Rattus norvegicus: one gene and its partners. The main gene of each other region encodes a partner of the protein of the gene in region 2 in a complex. Links are inferred from orthologs where the notes say so. Each region holds a gene or a part of one and is shown on either strand. Other genes may lie near its edges. The genes, in order: Grm3, Arrb1 and Ntsr1.

Region 1 (4,480 bases), on a different chromosome or scaffold from region 2:
ATACCTGGGCAAATTTAAATTTTACATTTACAAAAATCTGAGGTCTAGGAGGACAGCTCAGTGGGTAAAGAGCTTACTACAAAAGCACAAAGGCCTGAAGTTGGACCTTCAGACTCCACATAGCTACATAAGCTAGCACATGTCTGTCATCCCAGCTCTCTTATGGCAAGATGTGAGGCCTACTTGCAAGAACCTCCAGAAGACTGGTATGTGTAGAAAGGCAGAGGGTGGGCAGTGTTCCCTGAGCTTTTCCTGCTCCTTCACATATATTCTAGAACAGGCATGTATTTGCATTCACACATGCATGCATGTACAACAACGTGCATGTACAAAGAAAACCCCTACTGACGTCAGCGCGAGAGTGTCTGACATACCAAACACTGTTTATGTCCCTGGCTGAATGTCTCCACATTCTAAGCCTCAAATTGATGACCACACAAGAGAGGTGAAGACGAAGGCAGGAGAAGACAACCATGGTATTGGAAGTCAAATGCCTAGCTTTGCATTTTGATTTTCTACCACACTTAATTACAAAACTATGAAAAAGTTTCAGGAGTTCACAGAATCCAGTTTTGCATGTTGAAATTAAGATAATACTTACCTCAAAAGACCCTTGTAAATAACAATAAAAAATACATGTGTAGATTTAGACATACATACCACACACACACACACACACACGCACACGCACACGCACACGCACACGCACACACACACAATCATTACAAATAGTAACTGATGCTCTAAGAAAATGGATTCATAAAAATGCACAAACCAAAGTATGAATGTTGTTCTCTAGAAATCAGACTAGACTGAAGGAGTGAGGAGAGAGAGATTAACGATCTGCCTTCTGTGGTACCTACTCATTAATTCAGAATGATTACTTTGTAACTAAGGAACCTAAGTTTGGAAGAACAATTCACCATAATGGGACTATCTCAGTACTTCACCGTAGCATTCATTTGTTGTAAATGTGTTCATAATGTACCTCACAGTGCCATTACTTTCCATGATTGCTCCATGCTGTTCAATACAGATGATACAGTTGACATTGCACTTAGGAGAGTTCCACCCCTGTATCTTAACTCAGCAATTATGCTCCCTTTTCCTAGAGTTAGCTGTGGCTTCCTTAGTTAAATACACATGCACTGTGACATGTACAGCCGTTGAAAAACAAGGGTGGTAGTCAGTATCTTATTCTACTTCACCACCTTTCCAAACAGGCTGCAGCTCGCTGTACCTCCTTCCAGCACAGAGAATGTTCATGTAACTTTCCTGTTGGAGCTAACTCATCCTTCTGTGTAGCTTTTCTTGATTGTAAGTTGTTCTCAGACATTCTGAAGCAGTGAACTTAAAGCCACAGGATCTAGCAGTCAATGGAAGTTGAATACTTCCTTACCCTTTTGGGAGAAGAAAATTCCAACAGCTTAGGAGCTGTGGTTCTTTATTTCCAGAAAATAGTGTCTCTGGGTATTCTTCAATGTCTCCCTAGACAGAACAGGCTCTGGTGACTCCAACAAGATGAGGAAAGTATTCCATCAATAAGAAATGGCCTTTCTGGTGCTACCCAGAAACTTCACAATCAGGTCTCCACAGAAAAGGATTATATCACCACAGTGGCCATAGTACAACATAAGTCCAGTGGAAGTCGGATACTAGGAGTAATGCAAATACTGGTTCAGGGCAACCTGCCTATTCATTTACCCTGAATAAACAAAAAGTACTCCTGTGCTCTGATCAGCCAGTGTAGGCAAGCCATTCTGTGCGGACGTTTCCAGTCCTTGGCAGAGAACTGCATTCTACCCATTCATCCAATCATTTGCCTTGTCTTGAGGTTCTAATTTTTCATTATTTGGTGTGCCGTGTCTCAGATTTTTCCAGCTGTCCTTGGTTTCCTTTGCTCCATGAAATGAGGATTCATCAGGACTGGGATGGCCATTGCATCCCTTTGCTTGTGTTGTGCTCAGAACTATCCATTTCAAGCTGATCGCCCTGTGTCCCTTAGGTAAACAAAAACATTCAATTGCCAGAAGAAAAAATTTCAAAGTACCTAAGCTCATTCCAACATACAGTCTTCTGAAATACTCAACTTGTTTTATTAAAGTTGACACAGAGGATTATGTGACTTAAAGTCACTAAAGACAGAACTTTTTGAAGCTAGGAAGAATAGAAAACACTTTGTTTATATATTTATTTATTTATTCTCAAGACAGGTTTTCTCTGTATGTGGCTCTGGCTGTCCTGGAACTCATTCTGTAGACCAGGCTGGCCTTGAACTGAGACATAGGCCTGCTTCTGCCTCCCTCCCGAGTGTTGAGATTAAAGGCATGCACCACCATCACCGGAGTAAAAGCAAATTTCTTACTAGATATAAATGTAATCTACTTTGATAGGTGTAACTATATATATATTTTTTTTCAAAGTATTTCATGCAGTACTTCTTGATAAACTCAGATCACTTCCTCTTTTGTCCTATAACAAATAAAAATAGTGGAATGTTGATAATTAACTAATAAAAATTCAAATTTTTATACAACATAGGCCTGAAATATGTCAAAGTACTCAATCATTCCTCAATACTTCATCTGAATTTCATCTGAATTCAAAAATACCATAAAAAGAGTTTATCTGCATGCTTTCCCTTTTCAAATTCTAAGAAAAAAAAAACAAGGCAAAGAAAAAGTTACAGTATCTTCAGAAATTTATCAAATTATATACCTAAAATTTTGAATGGTCTGAATAGAATTTAAGTAGAATTTATTTTGTTTCTTTTGCTTAACCTAGATAATAAATGTCTAATTTGGATTGTCCATGTGGCACTCAGTTCCCAAATTAAACTCTTTCAGAGACTGCCATTTTTAGCGAAAGAGGGGGAAGTGAGAATTAAACACCCCGGATCTTTCTATACAACCACAGCCAAGTTGTCTGAAAACCGAATTTGGCCACTTCACTGTAGTTCATTGTCTGCTGAGCTATAGCAGGACCCAGGGAACTTACAACGACCACGTTCAGAGCCTCTGAGCAAATTTCATCAGTCTAGAGTCTAGCACAGAACTTAAGTAGGTCCAGCCACCGTGGCCTCCCATTTTTCATCATGCTTTTCTCTAAAACAAACACTGCCTGCTTTGAACCTGCTCCCTAATAGCTAAACATGTTACCGAGGAAAGTATCTGGTAAAGGTCTCAAGAAGTGATCCCCTCCCCTCCCCTGCCCCGCACAGAAAAGGAAGCTGGTAACAGACGTGAATGGTGTAAAGATTTCTCTCTCACATAGTCATTTGCTTATGGGTTTTTTAAAAAGATGCCTCTCTCTTTTTTGCTCAGGTGGCAAACCTGCTGAGGCTCTTCCAGATCCCTCAGATAAGCTACGCCTCCACCAGCGCCAAACTCAGTGACAAGTCGCGCTATGATTACTTTGCCAGGACCGTGCCCCCTGACTTCTACCAGGCCAAAGCCATGGCCGAGATCTTGCGCTTCTTCAACTGGACCTATGTGTCCACCGTTGCCTCTGAGGGTGACTATGGGGAGACAGGGATTGAGGCCTTCGAGCAGGAAGCACGGCTGCGTAACATCTGCATCGCCACTGCTGAAAAGGTGGGCCGCTCCAACATCCGCAAGTCCTACGACAGCGTGATACGTGAGCTCCTGCAGAAACCCAATGCGCGGGTCGTGGTCCTGTTCATGCGCAGTGACGACTCACGAGAGCTGATCGCGGCAGCCAACCGCGTGAATGCCTCCTTCACCTGGGTGGCCAGCGACGGCTGGGGTGCTCAGGAGAGCATAGTCAAGGGCAGTGAGCATGTAGCCTATGGCGCCATCACCCTTGAGCTGGCATCTCACCCGGTTCGCCAGTTTGATCGCTACTTCCAGAGCCTCAACCCCTACAACAATCATCGTAACCCCTGGTTCCGAGACTTCTGGGAGCAGAAGTTCCAGTGCAGCCTCCAGAACAAGAGAAACCACAGACAGGTTTGTGACAAGCACCTGGCCATTGACAGCAGCAACTATGAGCAAGAATCCAAGATTATGTTTGTGGTGAATGCAGTGTACGCCATGGCGCATGCGCTGCACAAAATGCAGCGCACCCTCTGTCCCAACACCACCAAGCTCTGTGATGCAATGAAGATCCTAGATGGAAAGAAATTGTACAAGGAGTATTTGCTGAAAATCAACTTCACAGGTAAGCAGCGAGCCTTATTGTCCTCTGTGAAATGAACAAAGGGGCTCAACCGGGAGCCAAAAGCCTCTGCCCCTAACGAGACAGCCTTGCTCTAGAAGTTTAGACCAACACAAAAGGGGGTTCATAATCTTAAATATCCCAAGACGTAATGCTCTTTTGATGATAATCTTGTTCATTTTTGACGAATACGTTGGCTCGTTTGCTACATGAAACTGAAAGATCCCAAGGCGAGGTTGATGTCCCACTGTGGCAGCCGCCGGAAAGGGGCCATGCTACATTGACTTTCTTTTTTGTTAGCTGC
Region 2 (5,058 bases):
CCACCCACCCTCATGGGGTTTACAGGCTACAGAGGATGCACTTGACACCTTGTGTGTTGATACCACCATCTACCAATCTGTTCAGTGTTCCTCGGTGTTAGAGCCATGCTTTCCAAAGCTGGTCCAGGAAGAGCTGCGTGGAGGCGGGGGCTACCTGGAGCCATCTGGTGCATCTTTCTGGGCTGTTTGTTTACTGAGAAGTAATCGAAAACATTGTTTGTTATAATAACATAACCACAGATACTTACTAAGTAGAATGAAGAGTTTGCCTGAATGTGCATTGAGCATCTGGGCTCTGTACTGAGACCATCAGGCTTGCATGAAGCCTGTGTGGAGAATATAAGACCAGGCCTCTTGATGTTGAGCTCACAAAGTGATCTTCTTGCTATCAACAGAGGATCCTATTCTGTTCCTTTCAAGATCCCCCCACAACCCCTTGCAGAAGGATCTGGTAGCTTCCTGTTCTGCCCTGGTTGGAGCAAGGGAAGATCCCAGAGGCTAAGAAAGGGCAGGTGAAGTTACAGACCGTAATCCATTTTCACTTAGCTCTTACCATTGCCCAGATGTGGACCACCCTGCCTATCCATTAGCCTCTACCCACCCCTCCCCAATCTGGACATAATTATAGTCGTTATCCTGGGATATTATTACCAACTCTATAAACAGCACACTCTATGTAAACAGCATAGGTAACTCTTCTGAACATAATTACAGGAGATGTTTCCAGACCCGCAATTGCATCAGAGTAAATGATAGCTTCCTTTCCTATCGTTAATACTCCGATATTAGGGACCTATCAGTGCCAATTAGTCAAACCCCAGCAGCAAGCGGCTGAGAAAGACCTTACATTCTCCCACTTCCTGCAAAGCAAGAAGGAACCCCTTAAGATCCCTTCCAGGAGAAAATGGATTAAAATCCAGAACCCTTTCCTACCCCTCCTTAGCCTCTGGACTCCACCCTCCCACTGCACACCTGCTACTTCCACAGGGGTAGGAAACTTGGGGAAAGTCAAGATTTCAAGGATAGCAAGAAAGCTGCAGACAGTAAGCTCTGCTGGACACCACTGTGTGCAGGTGCCTGCCGGCAAGAACAAGTGAATTCCTTCACCTATAGAACAGGGCATCTGCTGGTCTTAGGACCCAGCCAGTAGATCTGGAATGGGCTGAGATGGCTGATGTCTAGAGTCATTGCAGGCAAGTAAACTAGGCCTGGGTGCTAGCAATGATGCTGGATGCTCCGGTCACCAGCTAGTTGGCTCTTGGTCCCTGCTTTATCTTCTGTTCTCACAGCTTCCTCTTTCTGCCTGCCCCTCCCCTCCTCTTTCCACTCTCATCTGCTCTCCAGCATTGCAGTCCGCTGCCCGCCCCCACCCCTTCTTCCTGTCCCCGCTGTGCCGTTGGGTGGTATCTCTCCAGAAGGGCGGGGGCGGGGAGGGTGGAGCAAAGGGCGAAGGCCTGGCTAGGCTTTTGGAATCTTTTGCTGTGTTCACACACAGGGGCGCCGCTGAGGCTGGGCCTTGGAGTCTGCGGATTTTCCGCTTGCATCTATCCGCAGACACAAAGGCCAGTCCTGGCTTGCGCGGGAGAGCGCGCTTGCACCCACGATTGTGAGCACACACGCACAACTGCACAAAGACGTGCTATCTCTGCACACACACACACACACACACATACACACACACACAATCTCTCTCTCTACCCCTCCCCCCTTCTCCCGACAGGCTCGCGCGCACAGCCGTGCACACGCACCAGCACTGGCACGCGCTTGCGTGCACGCACTCTCGTGGACCAGCCGCGGCCGGCCACCCAGCCCTCACTCTCTGGGCGCGCACACGCAGAGCGGCGCACGGAGCCACACACGCGCGCTCACACCCGCACGCTCCACGCCCCTGGCGGCGGCCGGGGCGCTGTGCTGCTCGAGCGACGGGCGGGGACCCGGGCGGGGGCGGCGGCGGCGACAGCGGAGGAGGCGGAGCGGGGTAGCCGGGAGCGGGCTGGCCCGCGCTTCTCCTGGCGGCCGGGGATTTTCCAGCCTGGACGCTGACGCCGCGGACCTCCCTGCGGCCGCCGCGGACCATGGGCGACAAAGGGACACGGTGAGTGCGGGTGGCCGCCCTGTCCCGCGTGCGCGTGGGGACGACCTGGGCGAGGGCACGGGCGGAGGTTCCAATCAGCGTCACCCGGGATCTGGCACTCTGTTGTCCGCCCAAGTCTCTTGTGTGGTCTCTGGCCAGAACCATGTGTAAGGACGGAGGCACCCAGGATGGGCCACCCCACTTGGTTCAAGGCTCCTGGCCGAGACGAGCTCACACAACCAGCCCTGGCTGGTCGGTAGACTCGAGGACGTTCTGGGGCAGGCTGACACACGACACACACACTCATAAACACATGAACACCCTTCTGCTGGCACACACTGACAGTCGCTGCCACACTTCGCATTTGTGACACGACAACGTCACACGCGGTCTCTCACGCACACACTAGTCTGCCAACACATTCCTGCTGTCAGTACTGTTAGCATACACAGGTCCCACTGGAACACGCACCAGCTCTAACACACCTCGTGTTGCCACGCACATCTGGGCATACACCAACATACGTATCCTGTCACCTGGATGCTGCAAAGCACGGTCTGGCTAGTGCTTGCAGTCTGTCAACCCTCTCTGAAATGACACGATGCAGCCACAGGTCTTAGTGACACATCAAGGCCAATCACGCACATGCACAGCAGAAAATGCCTGCAGGGCCTGACATCTCTAGGGCAGTGGATACACTTCACTTCTGACTCCCCATGGCCAGACCAGAAACACAGGTCAGAGTGGGAGACTTTGAGACCTGGAAGGCAGGTCCCATTCACATGCTTTCCTTCCCCTCTGACCTCCAAAGCACATAGCTAGGGGCTACATCTAGCTGGGGATGGTGGTGGTGAGGGAAACTGTTTTTGTAGATCCTGCCTTGAAAGGAAAGGTTAGGCCCTCGAAATGGAAACTAGGTCAAAGTAGGAAGGCTAGGGAGGGGCAGGGAAGCTCTTGGGGTCAATCCTTATGACCTAGACCAGCCCTAGTCAACTTAGAGTTTACCTTCCTGGCCCTTGAGAGTCTCCTTGCCGCCCTTCCTGGCCCCTCCTCTAGTCTTCCTGCACCTGCTTTTTATCACTGCTTTCCTTATTACTCTTATGTTTGTGTTCTTCTCTCTGCCTTCACTTCCTTTCCTCTGATATTTATTTATTAAGCCCCTGTTGTATACTAGGCATAGCCTCGGTGATGAGAGATGATCAGAAAGGAAGCATCCCTGCAGTCACATGTTGGGGCCCTTAAACAAACTGGTTTTTTGCCCACTGACCCCAGAGCCTTTCAGCAGTGAGTGAAAGGGGCTACAGAGGTTATTCCCATTTCCCAGGAGTAGAAATTGAGGCATAGTGCTAACTCAGATTCCTCATGTTTAGAAACTACCTCCCACCAGCCTCCCTATTGATGGCCCTTCCTGGAGGTTAATTTTCCTATTCTGGTTTCCCCAAAGAGGAACTGAAGGGTGAGAAAGGTCACTTGCCTTGCTGAAGGTCAGGAAGGGGCAGAGGCCACAGCCCACTGTATCTTGTGGCTCTCCTTGGGGCCCTGGGTGTAAAGACTAGCAAGGGACTCACTTGGTGCAGAGGCACAGCTTTGGGAGACTGCGGACAGCCATGAGGTGTTTGCATTCACCTTGAGGGCCAATGCAGCTGGCTGGTCAGCATCGTGACCCAGGCTTCAGTCCTTGGAGGAAAGATGCTTGGATGCATCTCTCTTCAGCCACACCCATCCCCCTCCCCGCTTTGAGACTCTCTGGAACTGTAAGGTTGAGCTTTGCTCCCTGTGAGGCACGGCAGGGAGTCAGCAGCCACTGACTTCTCCTTTGTTCTCCAGTGCTGCTGGTGACCAGGGTGACTCAGCCATGCTGGGCCTCTCTGTAACTAGGGGAGAAGTGTCACAGATTCCTGATACCTTGAATTGTCATAGGAGGAGGACACTCTGGCTGCCAGACACCTGTTGGAGAATCCTGAGGCCACAGCTTTGTCCTTGACTCCCCTGCTGTGCTTCTAACTCAAGGGCAGACCCAGTATTCCCATCTGTACATTGGAGCCATTAGAACTTTGGTTTTCATGGCTCCCAAAAGCTTACTGAGCTCACTGGACATAGGAGTAGGAGTTGCCTATGCCAGGAAATACAGACTAGCTACACAAACTCCACCTGTCCGTGTTTGCCTCCCCTCCCTGGGCCCCTCTAGAGCCATGAATTCTGCCTTTCTCTTTCTAGATCTGTCTGGATATGAAAGGTAAGAAGCTTTCTCCATTGTGTTACATTGGCCATGAGATTTTGCTTTGAGACCTGGAAGGGACATTGCAAATACTCAATACTCTTAGGCTCTGGAGTCATCACATCTATTCCTGTCGGTTGGAGGAAGTGATAATGAACGTTAATCAAAACTGTCACTGCCCTTGCAGAAACCCCTGGGTTGAGAGGAGGCCCAGGGCAGAGCAAGCTAGCACCAACAGGGGTCCAATGAGCACAGGTCATGAAAGAGTGGCTTCTTTGTAGCCTGGGGCAGGAGTTCCCAGAGCTGAATCCCCAGACTATCCATTCCCAGGTGATGGTGGTACACGACACAATCACTTTGGGAGGTGGAAGAGGCATCCACACCAGAGCTGAGCTGGATGTGACCCGAAACTGTTCTGGGTAGTCAAAGCAGCTGAGATTGACCTAGAAGCTTGAGGAGGCTGAGCAGTGGAACTGCAACCAGTGCCCTGCCAGCCCAGGGTGCAGAATGTACAAGGACCGGGAGGTGGGAAGAGAAGCCTGGGGGTGGGGCCTGCGAGAGGAACACAGGCCAGTCATCCCCAGCCCTGGGAAGGTCAGGCTAAGGCAACAGGATTTTTCTTCCATTGCCAGGATCAGCTGGGAGAAGAGGGTGGAGAATGGAGGACAAGAACAAGTCTTCCTCTCAGACAGGTGCTTAAGACAGTGGCCAGCAGAGGGAGGAGCTGGCCTTGAGGCAGAGACACTCTAGGAAGGAGCCTCAGAAC
Region 3 (5,005 bases), on a different chromosome or scaffold from region 2:
GGCCTCTCCCACGTGGCTGCAGCTCCTGTTGCCAAATGGCTATACTAGCTAGGACCCTCCTCTGGGGAGCCCCCTAATGGAGAAGGTCGGATGGCACTGTTGGTGCTTGGGTCTGGGCAACACCAAGGATACCACGGGGGTGTGAGACATGGGATGGATATAGTACTACTTCTTCCTAACCATGTCAGGACCATCAGGCCCTCCCCAACCCTTCACACCCCTCCCCATGCTCATTGCACAGAGTCCGTCAGAGAACAAATCTAGTCTCACCTGGGGCAGTTTTCAAGCCCACCTTACCTGCACCTGATGGGCACCCAACCAGAACCCATCAATACAGATTTCCAGTTCCCTTCCACAAAGGAAGACGCCAAGGTGTACCCAAAAATATTAAAGGCCTGTTCAACCCCTACACCCTCAGCCTGCTGTACTGGTTTTTAACACGGGGACGCAGCTGTTTCCTCGGAAAACAGAGCATCTTATGCACTGCTTTTCATGTGTTAAGATTTTACCGGTGAGCACCAGCTTTTGTCCAGCTGGCACTCTCCAAACAGGTTGAAAGTTGGGGTCTGAGGGTCTCCCTGCTGGCCGAGCAGGGACTCTCTGGTCACATCAGGATCCCTGGTCTGGGTCAAAGCCTCACCCACTTCTCTCATTACCCTCTCTCTCCCCACAGTCCACTCAGGATCCCTAGTTCCAGCACAGCAGGTACAGACAGCAGCAGGGTCCATGCAGGGACCGCAATTTGCCCTGAGCCTTCTTCCCTCCTGCCCCAGGACTCCCCAGGAGTTTTCTGGAGGAAGAAGGCAGAAGGGCCGAGTGGGGAAATAGAGGCAAGGGCCTTGGGACAAGCAAGATGGCAGCAAGCCTGGAAGCTCTTGCCAAGGCCCCTGCCAAGGAGGACAAGATGAAAAGACCTTTGTTCCCTAGGTCCCTGACTGGGGCAGGGTCCCCTGGGAAAAGCTGAGCTGGGCTGAGTTCACAGCCTGCAGTGTTTCCTGGAAGGACAGATGTGACTCTGTGTCACCCACAAACCTGCCCTGCCCCTCTGAAACACGACAGAGCACCGGCTTTGAGAGTCACTGCTGGTGACCAAGTCCAGGTGACTACAAGAGGACAGAGGGGCCCATCATACCCAAAGGCAGCATAAGACCGTGGGATTGCCTGGGCCGGCGTGGAGAGATAGGCTGCTCTGCCTTCCGGCGCTATGCTTTCCTTCACCCGACCCTTCACAGGCTAGAGGGCCCCCTGGGTGCTTCTGGCACCCCGCAGGCACCCAGGAGGGAGGAGGCCGAGCCAGCTGTACAAAGGCCCTGCCATACCAGCAGGGTGCCCCCCTCCTCCTCACCCTTTTCTCTCTGGTAAGGGAGCTGAAGGCGACTAAGGGTAGCTTCCTTTTTGGGGTGGGAGAAGTTGGGATCAATGATCGGGAAGGAGAAGATTGTGCTGCCCGGAAAGGTTGAAAGGAAAGATCCAATATCGCCTCATTCTCCCTCACACCGTAGGGAATCCTGTTTCCTGGGGTACTCATCCTAGCCCAGGTGGTCCCGGGAGCGTGCAGAGGCAACCGTCAGCCAGTATCCGGGTAGGGAGGGGACAGTGGCTGTGGCGTCTCTGACTCTCCAACACCCACCCTCCTCCACTGCTGGGCGCGCCGCGCAGCCGCCAGCTCAGTGGAAGCGCGAGGAGCCCGGCAGGCTCCAGCGCAGCAGGAGGTGTGCGAAGTCGGGTGCGGGAAGAGCTCCAAGCAGAAGAGGGAGAACGAGGGTGAGCACACTGGGTAGCCGTGTGTGCGCTCCGCTCTGCGCCACAGGCTCCCCCAACGAAGCCACAAGCCAGCAGGGTCGCGGTCCTGAGGACATTACTACCACCCAGGAGTGCAGAGAACCAACCACAGAATCTGGAGGTCCGTAGCAGCCCGGATCTAGGCAGGCTAGGGGCTAGGGGGTCGGGGGGTGGGGTGCCGAGGAAGAGCGAAACCGGAACGCAGATCCCAGACTCTGGAGGAGAAAGAAGAGTGGATCCCTGAGCCGGCAAGTCGTGAGCCCCAGAGCTACCAGGCAGGATCCCCTGGATAACGCGCTTAGCCGCTGGACGGCACGCCCCCCTTAGCTTCTGCACCCTCTCCTCTGGGCGCCTCCTCATCTGCCCCTGGAGGGACTTTCACCTGCAAAGGTGCAGGACAAAGCAGCATACCCGGCACCCACCATGCACCTCAACAGCTCCGTGCCGCAGGGCACCCCTGGTGAACCCGATGCCCAGCCCTTTTCGGGACCACAGTCCGAAATGGAAGCGACGTTCCTGGCGCTCAGTTTGAGCAATGGTTCTGGCAATACCTCGGAATCCGACACGGCAGGGCCCAACAGCGACCTGGACGTGAACACTGACATTTATTCCAAGGTGCTGGTGACTGCTATATACCTGGCACTCTTCGTGGTGGGCACTGTGGGCAACTCCGTGACAGCCTTCACTCTAGCGCGGAAGAAGTCACTGCAGAGCCTGCAGAGCACTGTGCATTACCACCTGGGCAGCCTGGCACTGTCTGACCTGCTTATCCTTCTGCTGGCCATGCCCGTGGAGCTATACAACTTCATCTGGGTACACCATCCCTGGGCCTTTGGGGACGCTGGCTGCCGTGGCTACTATTTCCTGCGTGATGCCTGCACCTATGCCACAGCCCTCAATGTAGCCAGCCTGAGTGTGGAGCGCTACTTGGCCATCTGCCATCCCTTCAAGGCCAAGACCCTCATGTCCCGCAGCCGCACCAAGAAATTCATCAGTGCCATATGGCTAGCTTCGGCGCTGCTGGCTATACCCATGCTTTTCACCATGGGCCTGCAGAACCGCAGTGGTGACGGCACGCACCCTGGCGGCCTGGTGTGCACACCCATTGTGGACACAGCCACTGTCAAGGTCGTCATCCAGGTAAGAGCGTCGAAGTGGGGACTCTCTGTGCCATGGCACATTAGAGGGCACACCGGGGCACTGATTTCCCATCTGGCTGTTTCTTTCCATTGGAGCTATACAGAGACTTTTAGCAGTGTCACCTCAGAAGCCCCGATGATTCAAGGCACCACCTGGGGAGATGCAGCAGTGCCTCAGAAGCACTTTTTTTCCCTTCTCCCCTGTCCCAAAGTAGACCCCAGTGACAGCATACTTAATAGCTTACTGTGCTCTTAGGCTGGGAAGGGGCGGGGCACACCCATCAACTCTTCTTCCGAACTTTTCACTCCCAGTCGCCTGCCCCACCCTGCTTCCACCCCTCCTGATGAAGGAGGCTTGAGCCCCAATCAGTGACTTCTGTTTACTGTAAGCCTTCAGGTACTCTCAGGGAAGAGGGTCGCCATCAGCCTTTCAAGAGGTTACAAGAATCCCTGAAACCCCAGGCTGGCTCCCTAAGGCCTTCTGGCTGCCTCTCCTGGACACAAACCCAGGATCTGGAGCTTCCTAGTCTGTGAAGTGAGGTGATCACAGAATGGTCAAGAGGGCTATGAGAGGGGCTCTCAGGTCCCCAGTGTGAAGCACTCCAGGCCCTTGCTGCTGCCGCTGCTGCTGCTGCTGCCGCCACTGCTGCTGCTGCTGCTGCTGGTGATGGTGATGGTGATGGTGGTGGTGGTGGTGGTGTTTGTGCAGAGCAACCTGGAGTGTCTTGGTGTAGAGGGGTGTAATAGGCAAATAAAACTGGGATGATGGACCACAGTCCTCTGTGGGTCTGAGCATAGCACCAGGGAACCAGATGGGAGCCTCCTTGGAAATTACTAGCAGAGTAACTCAGCATGCTGGGAGCTCAACAGGAAAGGACCGTGAGGAGGGAAGTGGGTATCCACAGGGGCAGCTAGAGCCCCTGAGTGGTTATGCCAACACACCAGAGGCTGAGGCAAGAGGATTACAAGTTTGAGGCAAGCTTGGACCTCAAATTTGTGAGACCCTGTCTGAAAAACAACCCCCCACAAAGAAAATGAAGAAATGAAGAAAGTTTTGAAGAATTTCTTGGCTCTAGACCCTGGGCAACCATGGAAGTACAGGGAGGGTTCTCTTCCACCACGGGGTGAGCAAGAAAGGCAGAGAATGAGAGGATCTGGCCAGGGGCTCCTGCCATGTCAGAGGGGCCTCCGGGGAAGGTGGCTATGCCAACTTTCCTCATCAAGCCATCTATAGGCTCCCAGAGCCTCACAGCAAGATTCTGTGGTCACATGGTATATCCAGGTGACACCCAGAAACCAGAAATGCCGGGTTGGTTGCAATCAGCATTCAGACATCAGGCAGTATCTAACTCAAGAATTCATCTCCAAGGTAGGCCGTGGGGACAGGAATAATGCTCTTGTGCTACAAGTGTCCCTGTGTACGGTCCCTCTTGAGCTGCCACTCCTAGCAGGGCTGAGTCAGTGCCTAGCTTGTCTAGCAAGGTCTTCTGCATTAAGGCAAGTGCACATTCATTGGGTGCTCCATGTGACAAACAGTAGGATTCACCATGGCTCCTTGCTTCCTTTGAGGCAACAGGCCTCTTCCTTCAAGCTCCTGTCTTTGATGGGCTTTGTAGGAAGAGGGCTTCGCAGTCCACACTGTTCCCAGCTCCTCCAGCTGTAGGGTCAGGGGCAAGCACAACTCACCCTCATCCACTAGACAAAACCCTTTTTGAAATCCTGCAGAAGCCCTGTTGGAGCCACAGAACCGGATCCACATATGACAGGGTGTCTCCTCCCTTCCAAAGCTCTCTTGTCATTGCTTGCACCTCCCGGTCCATGTGACAGGTTCCTGGTCACTGTCCATCAGCACTGATTGTTGAGCACCCGTCCCGGGCAAGGCTCCCCTCAGTAGCTGTCACATTGTTGGCTGAGTGTTTACTAAGTGCCTGCTGGTGGCCTTTGTGCCCCTGGAGAACAGAGCTTCCATTTTCCCTTAGAAGACTCAGCCTCATTCTCAGAGCAACTGAGTGTAGCGTGTTCTTCATCTGTCTTATGTTAACAGCTGACCAGGTCTCTCTGGCTGGGAGCACAAGCTATTCTGG

What was found.
Region 1: the proteins of Arrb1 (region 2) and Grm3 are in contact, whole or in part, in a cryo-EM structure (PDB 9II2), measured with the Homo sapiens proteins. The link is inferred for Rattus norvegicus from reciprocal best matches to the Homo sapiens genes ARRB1 and GRM3. Residues at the interface, in NP_004032.2 of Homo sapiens: Gly5, Thr6, Arg7, Val8, Phe9, Lys10, Lys11, Ala12, Ser13, Pro14, Tyr21, Arg25, Arg65, Glu66, Asp67, Leu71, Gly72, Leu73, Thr74, Phe75, Arg76, Lys77, Arg103, Leu104, Lys107, Pro133, Arg236, Phe244, Asn245, Thr246; in NP_000831.2 of Homo sapiens: Pro605, Lys608, Ala609, Ile669, Phe670, Asp671, Gly672, Val673, Lys674, Asn675, Ala677, Gln678, Arg679, Lys681, Phe682, Ser684, Cys761, Pro762, Glu763, Phe765, Val834, Val835, Thr836, His837, Gln855, Ser856, Ser857, Ala858, Ser859, Thr860.
Region 3: the proteins of Arrb1 (region 2) and Ntsr1 are in contact, whole or in part, in a cryo-EM structure (PDB 6UP7), measured with the Homo sapiens proteins. The link is inferred for Rattus norvegicus from reciprocal best matches to the Homo sapiens genes ARRB1 and NTSR1. Residues at the interface, in NP_004032.2 of Homo sapiens: Tyr63, Arg65, Asp67, Leu68, Val70, Leu71, Gly72, Leu73, Thr74, Phe75, Arg76, Lys77, Asn245, Thr246, Ala247, Gln248, Tyr249, Lys250, Lys284, Arg285, Gly286; in NP_002522.2 of Homo sapiens: Ser93, Leu94, Gln95, Ser96, Leu97, Gln98, Thr100, Val101, Arg166, Ile170, Pro173, Lys177, Phe286, Ser287, Met288, Ala289, Ile290, Ala297, Leu298, Gly301, Ser368, Asn370.

The regions. Positions count from the first base shown.
Region 1 is NC_086022.1:25,476,863-25,481,342, forward strand, and holds part of Grm3 (metabotropic glutamate receptor 3 precursor), read left to right. Parts: intron 1-3,323; coding exon 3,324-4,179; intron 4,180-4,480. UniProt on the Homo sapiens protein: G-protein coupled receptor for glutamate. Ligand binding causes a conformation change that triggers signaling via guanine nucleotide-binding proteins (G proteins) and modulates the activity of down-stream effectors.
Region 2 is NC_086019.1:163,248,173-163,253,230, forward strand, and holds the start of Arrb1 (beta-arrestin-1), read left to right. Parts: upstream 1-2,043; 5' UTR 2,044-2,075; coding exon 2,076-2,095; intron 2,096-5,058. UniProt on the Homo sapiens protein: Functions in regulating agonist-mediated G-protein coupled receptor (GPCR) signaling by mediating both receptor desensitization and resensitization processes.
Region 3 is NC_086021.1:187,982,037-187,987,041, forward strand, and holds the start of Ntsr1 (neurotensin receptor type 1), read left to right. Parts: upstream 1-1,741; 5' UTR 1,742-2,205; coding exon 2,206-2,922; intron 2,923-5,005. UniProt on the Homo sapiens protein: G-protein coupled receptor for the tridecapeptide neurotensin (NTS). Signaling is effected via G proteins that activate a phosphatidylinositol-calcium second messenger system.